Xenopus tropicalis: one gene and its partners. The protein of the gene in region 3 interacts with the protein of the main gene of each other region in a pairwise test. Links are inferred from orthologs where the notes say so. Each region holds a gene or a part of one and is shown on either strand. Other genes may lie near its edges.

The links.
Region 1: the proteins of fhl2 (region 3) and dcp1a interact in binary tests that used the Homo sapiens proteins (3 or more experiments, as listed by UniProt). The two-hybrid records come from large-scale screens. The link is inferred for Xenopus tropicalis from reciprocal best matches to the Homo sapiens genes FHL2 and DCP1A.
Region 2: the proteins of fhl2 (region 3) and ccdc92 interact in binary tests that used the Homo sapiens proteins (3 or more experiments, as listed by UniProt). The two-hybrid records come from large-scale screens. The link is inferred for Xenopus tropicalis from reciprocal best matches to the Homo sapiens genes FHL2 and CCDC92.

The regions. Positions count from the first base shown.
Region 1 is NC_030680.2:150,725,982-150,729,635, reverse strand, and holds part of dcp1a (mRNA-decapping enzyme 1A), read right to left. Parts: intron 3,286-3,654; coding exon 3,245-3,285; intron 3,137-3,244; coding exon 3,009-3,136; intron 1-3,008. UniProt on the Homo sapiens protein: Necessary for the degradation of mRNAs, both in normal mRNA turnover and in nonsense-mediated mRNA decay. Removes the 7-methyl guanine cap structure from mRNA molecules, yielding a 5'-phosphorylated mRNA fragment and 7m-GDP.
Region 2 is NC_030677.2:160,772,917-160,776,670, reverse strand, and holds the start of ccdc92 (coiled-coil domain-containing protein 92), read right to left. Parts: upstream 2,910-3,754; 5' UTR 2,592-2,909; intron 2,543-2,591; exon of another isoform or gene 2,166-2,542; coding exon of another isoform or gene 2,150-2,165; exon of another isoform or gene 2,146-2,149; intron 2,123-2,145; exon of another isoform or gene 1,473-2,122; coding exon of another isoform or gene 1,358-1,472; intron 1-1,357.
Region 3 is NC_030678.2:111,734,384-111,738,137, forward strand, and holds the start of fhl2 (four and a half LIM domains protein 2), read right to left. Parts: upstream 2,721-3,754; 5' UTR 2,383-2,720; intron 1-2,382. UniProt on the Homo sapiens protein: May function as a molecular transmitter linking various signaling pathways to transcriptional regulation. Negatively regulates the transcriptional repressor E4F1 and may function in cell growth.

The DNA of each region.
Region 1 (3,654 bases), on a different chromosome or scaffold from region 3:
TTCTGTCTAAGGGAAACACTATGGCACCCCCTACCCATATGTATATACAACATTTTAATTTAGCTTTGAAAAGTCCAACATAGCAGCATAATATAGTTTTGGCGCTACAGTGCAGTTTAAATTTCTTGGTTATGGCCTTCAACCTAGATTAAAGTGGAGGCCATTGAAGTACTGTAGGCGGAGTTTAAGGTAGTTGGCAATTCAGTATTGGGTGGGCAAAGTGTATAGGGGCAGGTTATTGTTTTGATTGGTTTACTGATCAGCACTGGGGCCTTGAGTTCGATTCCTGCTCGGTCACACTCTGCAAAGAGTTTATATGTTCTCTCTGTGTCTGAATGGGTTTCCTTCCACACCCAAACACATACACAGGCTGGTTAATTGGCTTCTGATTGAATTGATCGTAGTGTGTAAATGCAATAGGGGCCTCAGACTGTCAGCTCCTCTGAGCATGGACTGAATGATGAATTATCTCTAAAAAGCACTGGGGGAAATTAATAATGAATAATTTGCAATCCAAACAAGCAACTGGAGGGAAGGACCTGTGCTAAAGGGTTAAACCCACCTCGTCAGCAGCAGTGCAGCATTTCCATAGTAACCAAGGGCTTTGATTGCAATAGAGCAGAGATGTTACATCCCCAGAAGTGTAGGAAATAGGGAGCAGTTGGGGGCTCAGCGCTGGGCACTGCACCCTGGCACACATGTGCGCGGAGACGTCTGTCCCAACAACAGAAGCTTCTTTGTCAAACACGTGACAAAAAGAACTCCCTCTAGGGATATGCTGGCCACCATTAAAGTGGCCACACACGTGGCGATTTTCGTTCTTTCGTGCAGCCATCGGTCGCACAAAAGATCGTTCCAATTCACCACTAACGTTCAAGGGCTGAAACATCAGATATGGAGGTAGAAACAATAGGATTCCCACCTCCTTCTGCCGATTCAGCTCTGAAGGCAGATTTTGCTCAGGTGCCTTCTATGGCGCCCGATCGGCGAGTCGACCGATATCCACAGTCTTCTGCGATATCGGTCGCCTCGCCAACTTGCCATACACACACCGAATATCGTATGAAATGGGGTTTCCTACAATATTATCGGTGCGTGTATGGCCAGCTTTAGTGCATTTAAAAATTACAATTTGGGAACAATGTGCCATTTTTCTACCCAGAACGCAGCATGCTTTGCCATAATTAAGCGTTCAAGGTGCTGGTAGCTCCCGGGTCCCCGGCATCAAGTTGTGGCCGATTTATCCAAGGGGCTGGCGGGGAGCGTATGGAGTGGGTTTGGATGCAAGAACCTTTAATTAATGGTGCCTATTCGCACATGAAGGGTGCTGATTTTAGTGTGCCCACAACTGCTGCTGTGCGTGGCCCTCACCTGCCCATGTAGGGGCAGAAACGAGGGGCCTGGCCGACCGATATCTGGCCTGAAATTAGCCAGATCTCGATCGGCCAGGTTAGAAGATTCAGTCGGATCAGGGACCGCATCGGCTCATTGATGCGGTCCCCGAACCGACTGCCCCTTGCCGCCAGTATAATTCAATCGTTACGCCCCAGGGCCAAACGATTGAATTTTTTTTTTTTCCCCCGATATTGCCCACCCGTAGGTTGCCAAGCGAGCGGATCTCAGCGTGTATGGGGACCTTTAGCCTACAGTTTGTAACGCTACTCACCGCTCAAAATAGCTGCAGCCCTTTGTATACTCTAGAACCATAAATTAAAGGAACAGTAACACCAATAAATGAAAGTTTTTTAAAGTGATTAAAATATAATGTACTGTTGCCCTGCACTGGTAACAGTTGTGTGTTTGCTACAGTAACACTACTATAGTTTATATAAATAAGCTGCTGTGTAGCCATGGGGGCAGCCATTCAAGTTGGAAAAAAGGAGAAAAGGCACAGGTTACATAGCAGATAACAGATGACCTCTCTAGAATACAATAGTGATTATCTGTTATCTCCTATGTGCCTGTGCCTTTTCTCCTTTGAATGGCTGCCCCCGTGGCTAAACAGCAGCTTTGTTTATAGAAATTTCTGAGGCAAACACACCAGTTTTTGGTGTTACTGTTCCTTTAAGGTGGCCACAAACGCACGAGACGCCCAATATCGCAAAGCCTGCGGATATCAGCCGAGTTATGACAATTTAAGGTGCCCATACACAGGTAGATTTCAGATGCCCATACGGATCATTCAGACTGATTCAGCTGCCCGAGTATGGGCACCCACAACCGATATCTGGCCTCAAATTGGTTTTGATAATAATAAGGTGTGTTTCCGTCGGATCAGGAACTACATCAGCTCCTTGAATTAAAGTGGCCATACACCTAGCAATTCTGATCATTCCTGCGACCATCAGTCTCGGGAAAGATATGGAGGTAGAAACAATAGGAATTATACCTCCTCCACCTACCGATTCAGCCCTGAAAGCAGATTTTCTTCTCAGATATCTGAAAGGCTGCGGATATCGCTTGTCTCATCGATCGCCAGGTTAAAAGATTTTGATCGGGCGCCTCTTTTAACCTGGCGATCGACGAGACAGGCGATATCCGCAGCCTTTGAGATATCGGTCGTCTCGTTGATCCGCCATACACGCACCGAATATCGTACGATGCTTAAGCCTGGTATCGCACACTTTTAGGTGGACATATGGGGAGAAGATCCCCTCGTTTATTGACCTCACCAAACGGGTAAATCTTACAAGGTATGGTCTTTACCCTTTGTGTTGGGTGCAAAATTATTGAGAATTCTGGTGCCTATTTTCTCTATTTGATACAAAGTATCTGCTACTGCTAAGCCTTTATCCAAGAAAATGCACAAAAAAAGTGCAAATTCACCGGCTCCCCCAGTAAGGAGCCTTAAATAACACAAGGGGGAGAGAATAAACCTTCCGGCCAGCCCAATTATTTTCCTTTCCTGGGAAGCCATTTGCCTGAATTTAGCAGAAAAAGGGGAGCCAAGGGCTCGTGGCCCCGCACCCAGATCGACCCAATTTCCATAGCAAATGAGAGGAACTCACAGCTGGAATTGCGGTACAGCAGGAAGGGCTCATGCAGCTGGAATTCCAGATCTTTGTTCACGGGTTCCACGAGGTTGTGCATGTTTAGCCGATTCATGATGGTGAATCCATGGTGCGGGGAGGCAGATCTATGCAGGGACAGAGAAAGGAGTTTAAGGGGGAAATAAAGTCGATTGGCTCAAGCATTACAGGGCAGGGGAACTGATACCCCCTGAGTGTGCAATGGTGCAACTTACCTTGTGTACACAAATAAGGTCCCCTCCACATCTGTCTTCTCCTACAGGGAAAGGGAGAGAAAACAGCTCATAAGGGCACTGTGACCAAACCCCACCCCTGTCAGGTCTGGGATTAAAAATAGGCCCCGGCATTCCCAGTACCCAGAGGCACAAACAGCCCCCCCAGCCCAATAAATAGTGACTGTCTGTGGCACCTTACAGCCCCCCTGGCATTCCCAGTACCCAGAGGCACAAACAGCCCCCCCAGCCCAATAAATAGTGACTGTCTGTGGCACCTTACAGCCCCCCTGGCATTCCCAGTACCCAGAGGTACAAACAGCCCCCCCAGCCCAATAAATAGTGACTGTCTGTGGCACCTTACAGCCCCCCCTGGCATTCCCAGTACCCAGAGGCACAAAAAGCCCCCCAGC
Region 2 (3,754 bases), on a different chromosome or scaffold from region 3:
AATCCAGGCTGCAGGGATCCTGTTGTGATCCTTATTGCAGTTGTTTAGGAGGCACAAGTGATAACTGTAGCATTTAGATGACTATGCTCAAAACATTAAGCTAAATTTGCATATTTTTAGTACTATGATGGCACTTACCATTAACTAACTGTCAGAAAGCAATGTTACGGTGAAGACACACAGAGCTACTAGTAGCAGCTACTTGTCAAGGATACTAAAACAGACAATACTGATCATTTACTGATAAGTCTCTACGTGTGTTTGAGGAAATTCTCAGTATGGCAGGGGATTTTCTGGCATTTAGTAGCCGTGACAAGTAGCTGCTACTAAGTAGCTCCGTGTGTCTTCACCCTTAGAATGTGTTGGCAAGCAATGCAAAATATACAAGAGTGATGCTGTCTTATCTCACTGCCTGGAAGCAACATGTATGCCGACATATTAAGTTACTATAAAAACAATTATCTATGTACACATATTTATAACAGAACACATTTTTAAACGAACATAAATACAGATATGGGATCAATTATCTGGAAACTCGATATTCAGAATATTTATATAATTATATTTTTTTAAAAAATTCCTTTTTTTCTGTAATAACAAAATAGTACCTTGTACTTGATACAAAACAATCCTATTGGGTTTAATTAATGTTTAAATGTTTTTCTTAGCAGACTTAAGGTATGGTGAATTTACAGAAAACCCAGTTCCCAAGAATTCTGGATAACAGGTCCCATAACTGTATATTTATTGAAAACTCTGCCTTAAAGGATACAGTAACTAAACTGTAAAAATAAAAAAGGCACTAGCAAGCCTGACAGTTATACGAGTATAATAACATTGTTGCACCGTATCAAAACTAAACAATTTTTCGCAATAGCATTGATCATGGAAAAGTATCTGTTGCACACGTGACTTCCTGCCACCAAGCCTAGTGAAGGACACTGCAGTGAGCCTCTATGAGCCCAATATGGCTAATTAAAGCAGACAATAACTTGATAACAAGGTTACATACAATGTCAAGCAACGGTTGGGAACTTTCACATACGCACAGCACTGTCAACAAATGCATGTTCATATAAGGTTCACATGTGTCAGACTGGCCCTAAAATAGTATTTCTGCTGTAAATTCAATAACATCCTGATTTTCTGCAAACTTTTGCCCACATTGGGAGTGACACAATAAGGCGTGAAGAAAATGCGTCCAACGAGCTCTGTGGCGAGCCTGCTGAACTACTCGTGGGGACACTGTAAGCAACATTTTAGCAATCACTCCAGCAGTAGCATCATGTACTGTTTAGATTTAAAAGAACCGGTAACTACTTTTTTCAGCATGGAGGGAAGGAAAACACCCTACCTTGGAGGATTCCATAGAGAGAGAGGCAGGAGGCACAGCACTGCTGTAGTTGGAGATGGTTGATGTCATTGATACTCCCAGGAGCACACAGAATGGATAGGTCATAATGACACATGGGCCACGCAGCGCTCTCTTTGTTTCCATAAAAGCATGAATTATTAAATGACTACGGCTAATAGGCTCCATACAAAGGCTTCACCAGAAAACTGTCTTACACAGCATCTTATTAATATCAGGACACTTGCTTCCCAACACTCAAACAAGGCATACAAAGGGCACAACAATGGGCAATAATTGACCTAACCGCCCATATTGTATTACATATGAGGTGTGGCAGAGTCCTATGGAAAGAATAATAATGTATCTAATAATAGGAATATAAATATCCATGCTTATCAATAAACCCACTTCAAACATCCCACAGAGAGCAGGGAGCTCTGTATAAGCACTTATTAGCCTCAATCACTAAAGGAAATCTTCCCCATACAGCAAAGCTGAGATACCAGTGAATTTGCCAGCAAATCCAGCCCAAAGGTTAGTGGCCAACCCATGGCCCCTCAGTAACCCAGTAGTTGTAGTACTATAAGAGGACAGGGGTTGGACAGCCCTGCACTCCATCTGCATTGCGGATAACACTGACTTTAGTGTGGGTCACTAATCACCATTGTGTGTCTCCCAGCGCTAGGTGCTGTAATAGTGATGCGATGTACTAATGAGGCGCTAAGCACCAAGGAGGTGTAGTATGATCTCAGTGACTCCCCCCATAGCCGCAGCCTGCACCCACTCACCCACCGCTCCTCATCAGCATGTGTATGGGCTCCTCACACAGGGGCTTGCCGTGCCATCCCCGGGCAGGCTACTGACTGAGTGGAACAGAGACAGGCTGCTCCCAGCCCCGGGCATGAGCAGAGGAACCCGCCCTTAGCGTCCCATGGGGGTCACGTCCATCCTGCACACTGGCGATGCCCCCACTCAGCGATGACGATGAGCCATTAGCGCGCCCCCCTCCCTCTCTCCCAAGGCAGATCAGAGAGATCACAATGAGATTGGGAGGCAAATCCCTAGCACTTAATGATGCCCTAGGAGCGCTGATTACATGGCAAGGGCACAGTTATACCAACGCACAGAGCTCCTCCCTATACAACTGCAAGAGAGATAGAGTGCAGGAATGATGCGCATATATAGGGCAGGAATAGCGCCAGCCAGGGACAGGTGCACTAGCTATAATACATACCGTCTCTGTGCGTGTGTGGCGTCTCTTTCTGCCAGTCAGTGGGCGCTGGGAGTCATGCTCTCTTGTCCCGGCACCCAGTGCCCTTTCGCCCGCGCCAGTCAGTCCGGTCAGCTCCGTTCTTATCTCCCTGAGCTACCGACCACAATAAAGCGGTGCATGCCGGGAGGCCTCCTGTAACTCGTCCCCAGGGAGGAATAGGTTATTACCGTACAGTCATGTGCCCCTTACTAAGCGTTCTACTGCCACTCGGGCCCCCCAGGTCTGCGCCAGCGGGCTGCAGGGAAACACGCAAGCGCAGGGCTCAGGTGCAATGCGGTCACCATAGCAACGGAGTGACCCAGGAAATGAGAGAAAGAGTTGCAGTGACAGGGAGGGACAACCTCTGGGCGTGTGAGCTGCGCCTCAGTGCAGGGAGCTCATGGGGCGGCTTCTTCCTTCTGTATTATTGTTGTGCGTAGCGCACCGGCACCTCTGGCTTGTACTCTCTCAGGTGCTAGAATCTCAAAGCGAAGGTGCCATTCATCAGCAGCAAATGTTACTGAATGAAATATACCATATGTGTCCCTGCCTACTAGTTTGGGAGAGAAATACTTAGTGGTGGCAGAGCGAAGAGTCCTGCGTGTGACTATGTTATCAGCGGGGAAGGAGGGTGGTTTGTCTTTATCCCACAAGCAGTAGGCACGGCTCTGGGCAGGACTTGGAGTCAAAGTAGGCCCTGGCATTTCAAGTACACAGAGGCCAAACTGCCCGATAAACAGTGACTGTCACTGGCACCTTACAGCAGCCCCAGAACTCACAGATTGCCAGACCGCCTGGCAGGGCTCTCCACCAATGCAGGTCCCTTTGGACTGTTTTTCTAAAGTTCCACACAGTGCCATAATAACTTGCCTCAAAAACCATATGACAGCTTTTCCAAACTATTATCACTTCACTATCTGCAGATTTGTTTTAGAAAATCCCAATAAAAATAGCAAAATGTTCTCTCCCTGCCGCCATACTGTATGGAATAAAAGCTCACTTTAGTCCAAAACTGCTAAACTTTTTGCATAAAATTGGCCCCCAGTGGTAATAGGTGTTACGGGTCATACATTTGGTACAGTTATACAGTTCATTATGGAAAATCTGTGCCTGTTCGGCCAGAATAAAGGCTTTGTAAATATTAA
Region 3 (3,754 bases):
TTTTACTGCATCCAAATATATTGCAAAGACAAGTTCAGTTTGGGTCACAGGTTTCCAGGTGTTTGAAGAGTCTGAGAATGACAATTGGATCATACTGGGTTGCGGTTTATCTGTGTAGCTAAGCTCATAGAATTCTGTCTGTTTTGTGAGAAGGGTTTCGTACCCCAGTGTAGATCTGACAATGCTGCTTAGCTTGATAATTGCACAACCTAATGTGCGGCTGCTCAGTAGTGTTAAGGCAGCACTTAGCTCTTCCCATCTTAATTACAATCACAAACTCCAAAAAGCAAATTCCCATACCTTCCGTTAGCTGGTCGTTATACTTGTCAATGGCAACATAATCTCTAAAGCATTCTGACAGGCTCGTTAAAGACAAGTTTTATTTCTGTCTTCCAAATCAGTGCCCTGCTCTGTATCTCTGCACACCTTATTGCTAATCCTGTGATGTGACACTGATTTCCCTTTCATCTGGGTACCCTGTCTTTATTTTATCTGTCACGCCAAGGAGCAATAGAGAAAATCCAATGTATTGCACCAAATGTTATTGTCAGATTTCATTTCCACAACAATTTGGGTATTTGAGTATTCCTACGGTCTTTGCCATGGTCACAGTTTCTATACTTAAGATTCCAGTACTCAAAAGGTCTGGTGCTTGTTATGATTCTCTTTATGGAGACGTATAAGCTGAGCATTTCATGGCTTAGTTGCCAGAATGGTATGTACTGTATGGTGCCCTGCTTCTATCTTTCCATTTACTCTTCATGTATCTTTATAACAAGGCATTAAATTAAAATCCAAACACCTTTAACATGCAAATATTTCCCAACAGAAATGTTTTGTTTTTTAAAACTTTTTTTTACATTTATTATAAGAATGTTTGACTGTTTTAAATATATTTTTAATTTTTCCCAAAGCAGATCCCATACTGTGGTTAATGATTCAGACAGCTGTTAAAGAGGTTGTTCACCCTTAAATTAACTTTTAGTATGATGTAGATATTTTGAAATTTTTTGTGCTTTTTGGGTTATTTAAGAGAGACACGGAATAGAAAGCAAAGGAATAAAAAGCATCAATAACAATAAAATAGCTCCACAGAGCAATAGTTTTTTGGCTGCCAGTGTCAGTGACCCCCATTTTAAAGCTGGAAAGAGGCAGAAGAGGCAAATAATTCAAAAGCTGTACAAAATAAAAATGAAAGGCCAGTTGAATAAGAATAGGACATTCTATAACACAATAAAGGATAAAATAAAGTTGAACTACCCCTTTAAAAAATTGGTTTGCTGCTCTCTGCATGCAGCTTATGATTCTTTGAACAGCGACGTGAATGAATGAATCGAATGTACTTTTGATTTTAGCTCTCATTATTTTGCTGCCGAAATCAGCTGCCTTCCCTCCAATAATCCAGTGTCTTGCATGCACTTGTTCCTGCTTTCCAAATTACGGCAAGGCCATCTCCCATAGACTCCATTTTAATCCTATAATTCACATTTTTAAAAATGATTTCCTTTTTCTCTGTAATAATAAAACAGTAGCTTGTACTTGATCTCAACTAAGTTATAATCAATCCTTATTGGAGGCAAAACAATCCTATTGGGTTTAATTACTGTTTAAATAATGTGTTTAGCAGACTTTAGGTAGGAGATCCGAAATACGGAAAGACCCCTTATCCGGAAAACCCCAGGTCCAAAGCATCCTGGATAATGGGTCCCATACCTGTACTGACATGTTCCTATAACAGATAGTAATGTGTCACTATTTCTTATTACCATATAAAGCAAGGTCTGCTTCTTAGTTGCACCTAGTCCAGCACGCCGAGCATTCAGCACGCCGAGCATTCAGCATAAGAGATCAATAATATTATTATCATAAACTGTTGTGCTTCCTTTCCAAAAAGTACAGTCAAAAGAAATCATTGCATTTGAATTCATACAGTGGTTTGTGTAGATACATATTCTAGGTCTCTAGAAAGTTTTAATTCTATTTGGCCATCAGGCTTTGTGTACTAAAGGAGAATAAGGCAGACAGTTCCACTTCATCCAGAGTATCCTGTTTATAGTTTGTGCCTCTGCAAGGATAAACTGCACTGCAGTGCTATTAACAAAATTGTAAGTGCCTTTTTATTAGAGTAACCTCCAACCTGTGGCTCTCCAGCTATTGCTGAACTACAAGTTACAACATAACACAATACCATCTTGCTTTGGTGGCGTGAGTGCAATTTAAGCACCTAGAGTTCTGGACCCTGTTGCACACACATTTTCAAAATTAGTGAAATAAAATAACTGATTTTTTATCCTCAGTAGGCATTTTAAAGTACATGAGAGTTTTAATGCATTATACTATATTATGTCTCTAGCTGCTGTGCAAAGTAAAAACAACCCTTACCTGCGGTTAAAGTGTGCCAGGTCTGCCCTCCAGTCAGAGAATGAAATGGCTGGGACAAGTCCTTTGGAGTTTTGATACTCACTGAATTATTTAAACAATGAGTGTGATAATTAGGAAGATGGACATTCTTCTGCTTGCTGTGCTATTAATACCATATCTCTAATAAAACAGCTCTTCCCTGCAGATAAGCATAGTGGCACCTCATAGCAAGCAGCCTTTTAAGGCGTTAGTTAGTGACAGACATGTATTTGTGGATGGTTTTTATTCATAGCTCTCCAGTCTTTTAAGTGAGAACAAAACTGGTCAACCTGCATCCCACACAGGCAGCTATAAATTATCCTCTAAAGTGGCCCTGCAACTACAAACTACTCTAAGCAGGCAGCAATTATAGGGAGCAGCAGGGGTTTCACATCTGGTTTTGTAAATTAGGAATAATTAGGAATAAATCTTTATTTATAAAGTGCTATTTGTGTATGCAGTGTTACGCTTTTTTATAGTACATTATCAGGACAGTCAGAAGTGAGCCAACAAGGAAACAGTGACACAGGAGGAAGGTGGTTCCAGGCCTAGAAAGTTTACAATTTATGTGGCTGAGTAACTTACAGACAAAGCATGGAGAGTAATAAGTACAGCCATTACTCTGAATGAGTGAGCTCTGAATCACACCTGGCACCAGATACTATGCTAGGGCTCCAACAGGCAGGATTTGATTTTAGTTCTGAAGAGCTTGTGAGCTGGGGCACTCACTCATTTGTGTATGTGACTGTCCCAACATGGTCGCCTGTGCTGGGCGCTCCCTTCTACTGCAGCGTGGGCACTCTGCGCTTCCAGACAACTGTAGACACCTGCCTTGTTCCCAGCACCTTAATAACCAGAGAGTGTTGTATTATGGAAAATTTGTACTGTTTAACTAGCTTTTAATGAGTATAATATGTAACTCAAATTCCAAATTGTTTTTTTTTCTCAGGCTTTTAATATAATGCATTTTTTTCTCAGCCTTTTAATATAATGCATTTGCTAACATGTAATATTCAAATAGGCTACTAGTTACATGCTAAAGGAAGCAGGACCTTGGTAGGAGCACGTCTGTTATAGCACATTTTCTATCTTAAAATATCCCTTTAACTAGTAGGAGTAATCAGAACACTGACACTAATCTTCACTGCTGGATGTGCATGCACCCTACTGGTTCTGCTAAGGATCAGGATAGTACCGACTGTATCAATATGCATTGCTTAGTGGATTTCTATGAATTCTAATACAGTATCTTGGTCATTTTTTTTATCCCCCTGTATTACTCTGTTCATGATTTCAAGGATTTATATGATTTATAGTAGGTCTTTGTAAATAATGTCCCAGGTCTTTAATAAAC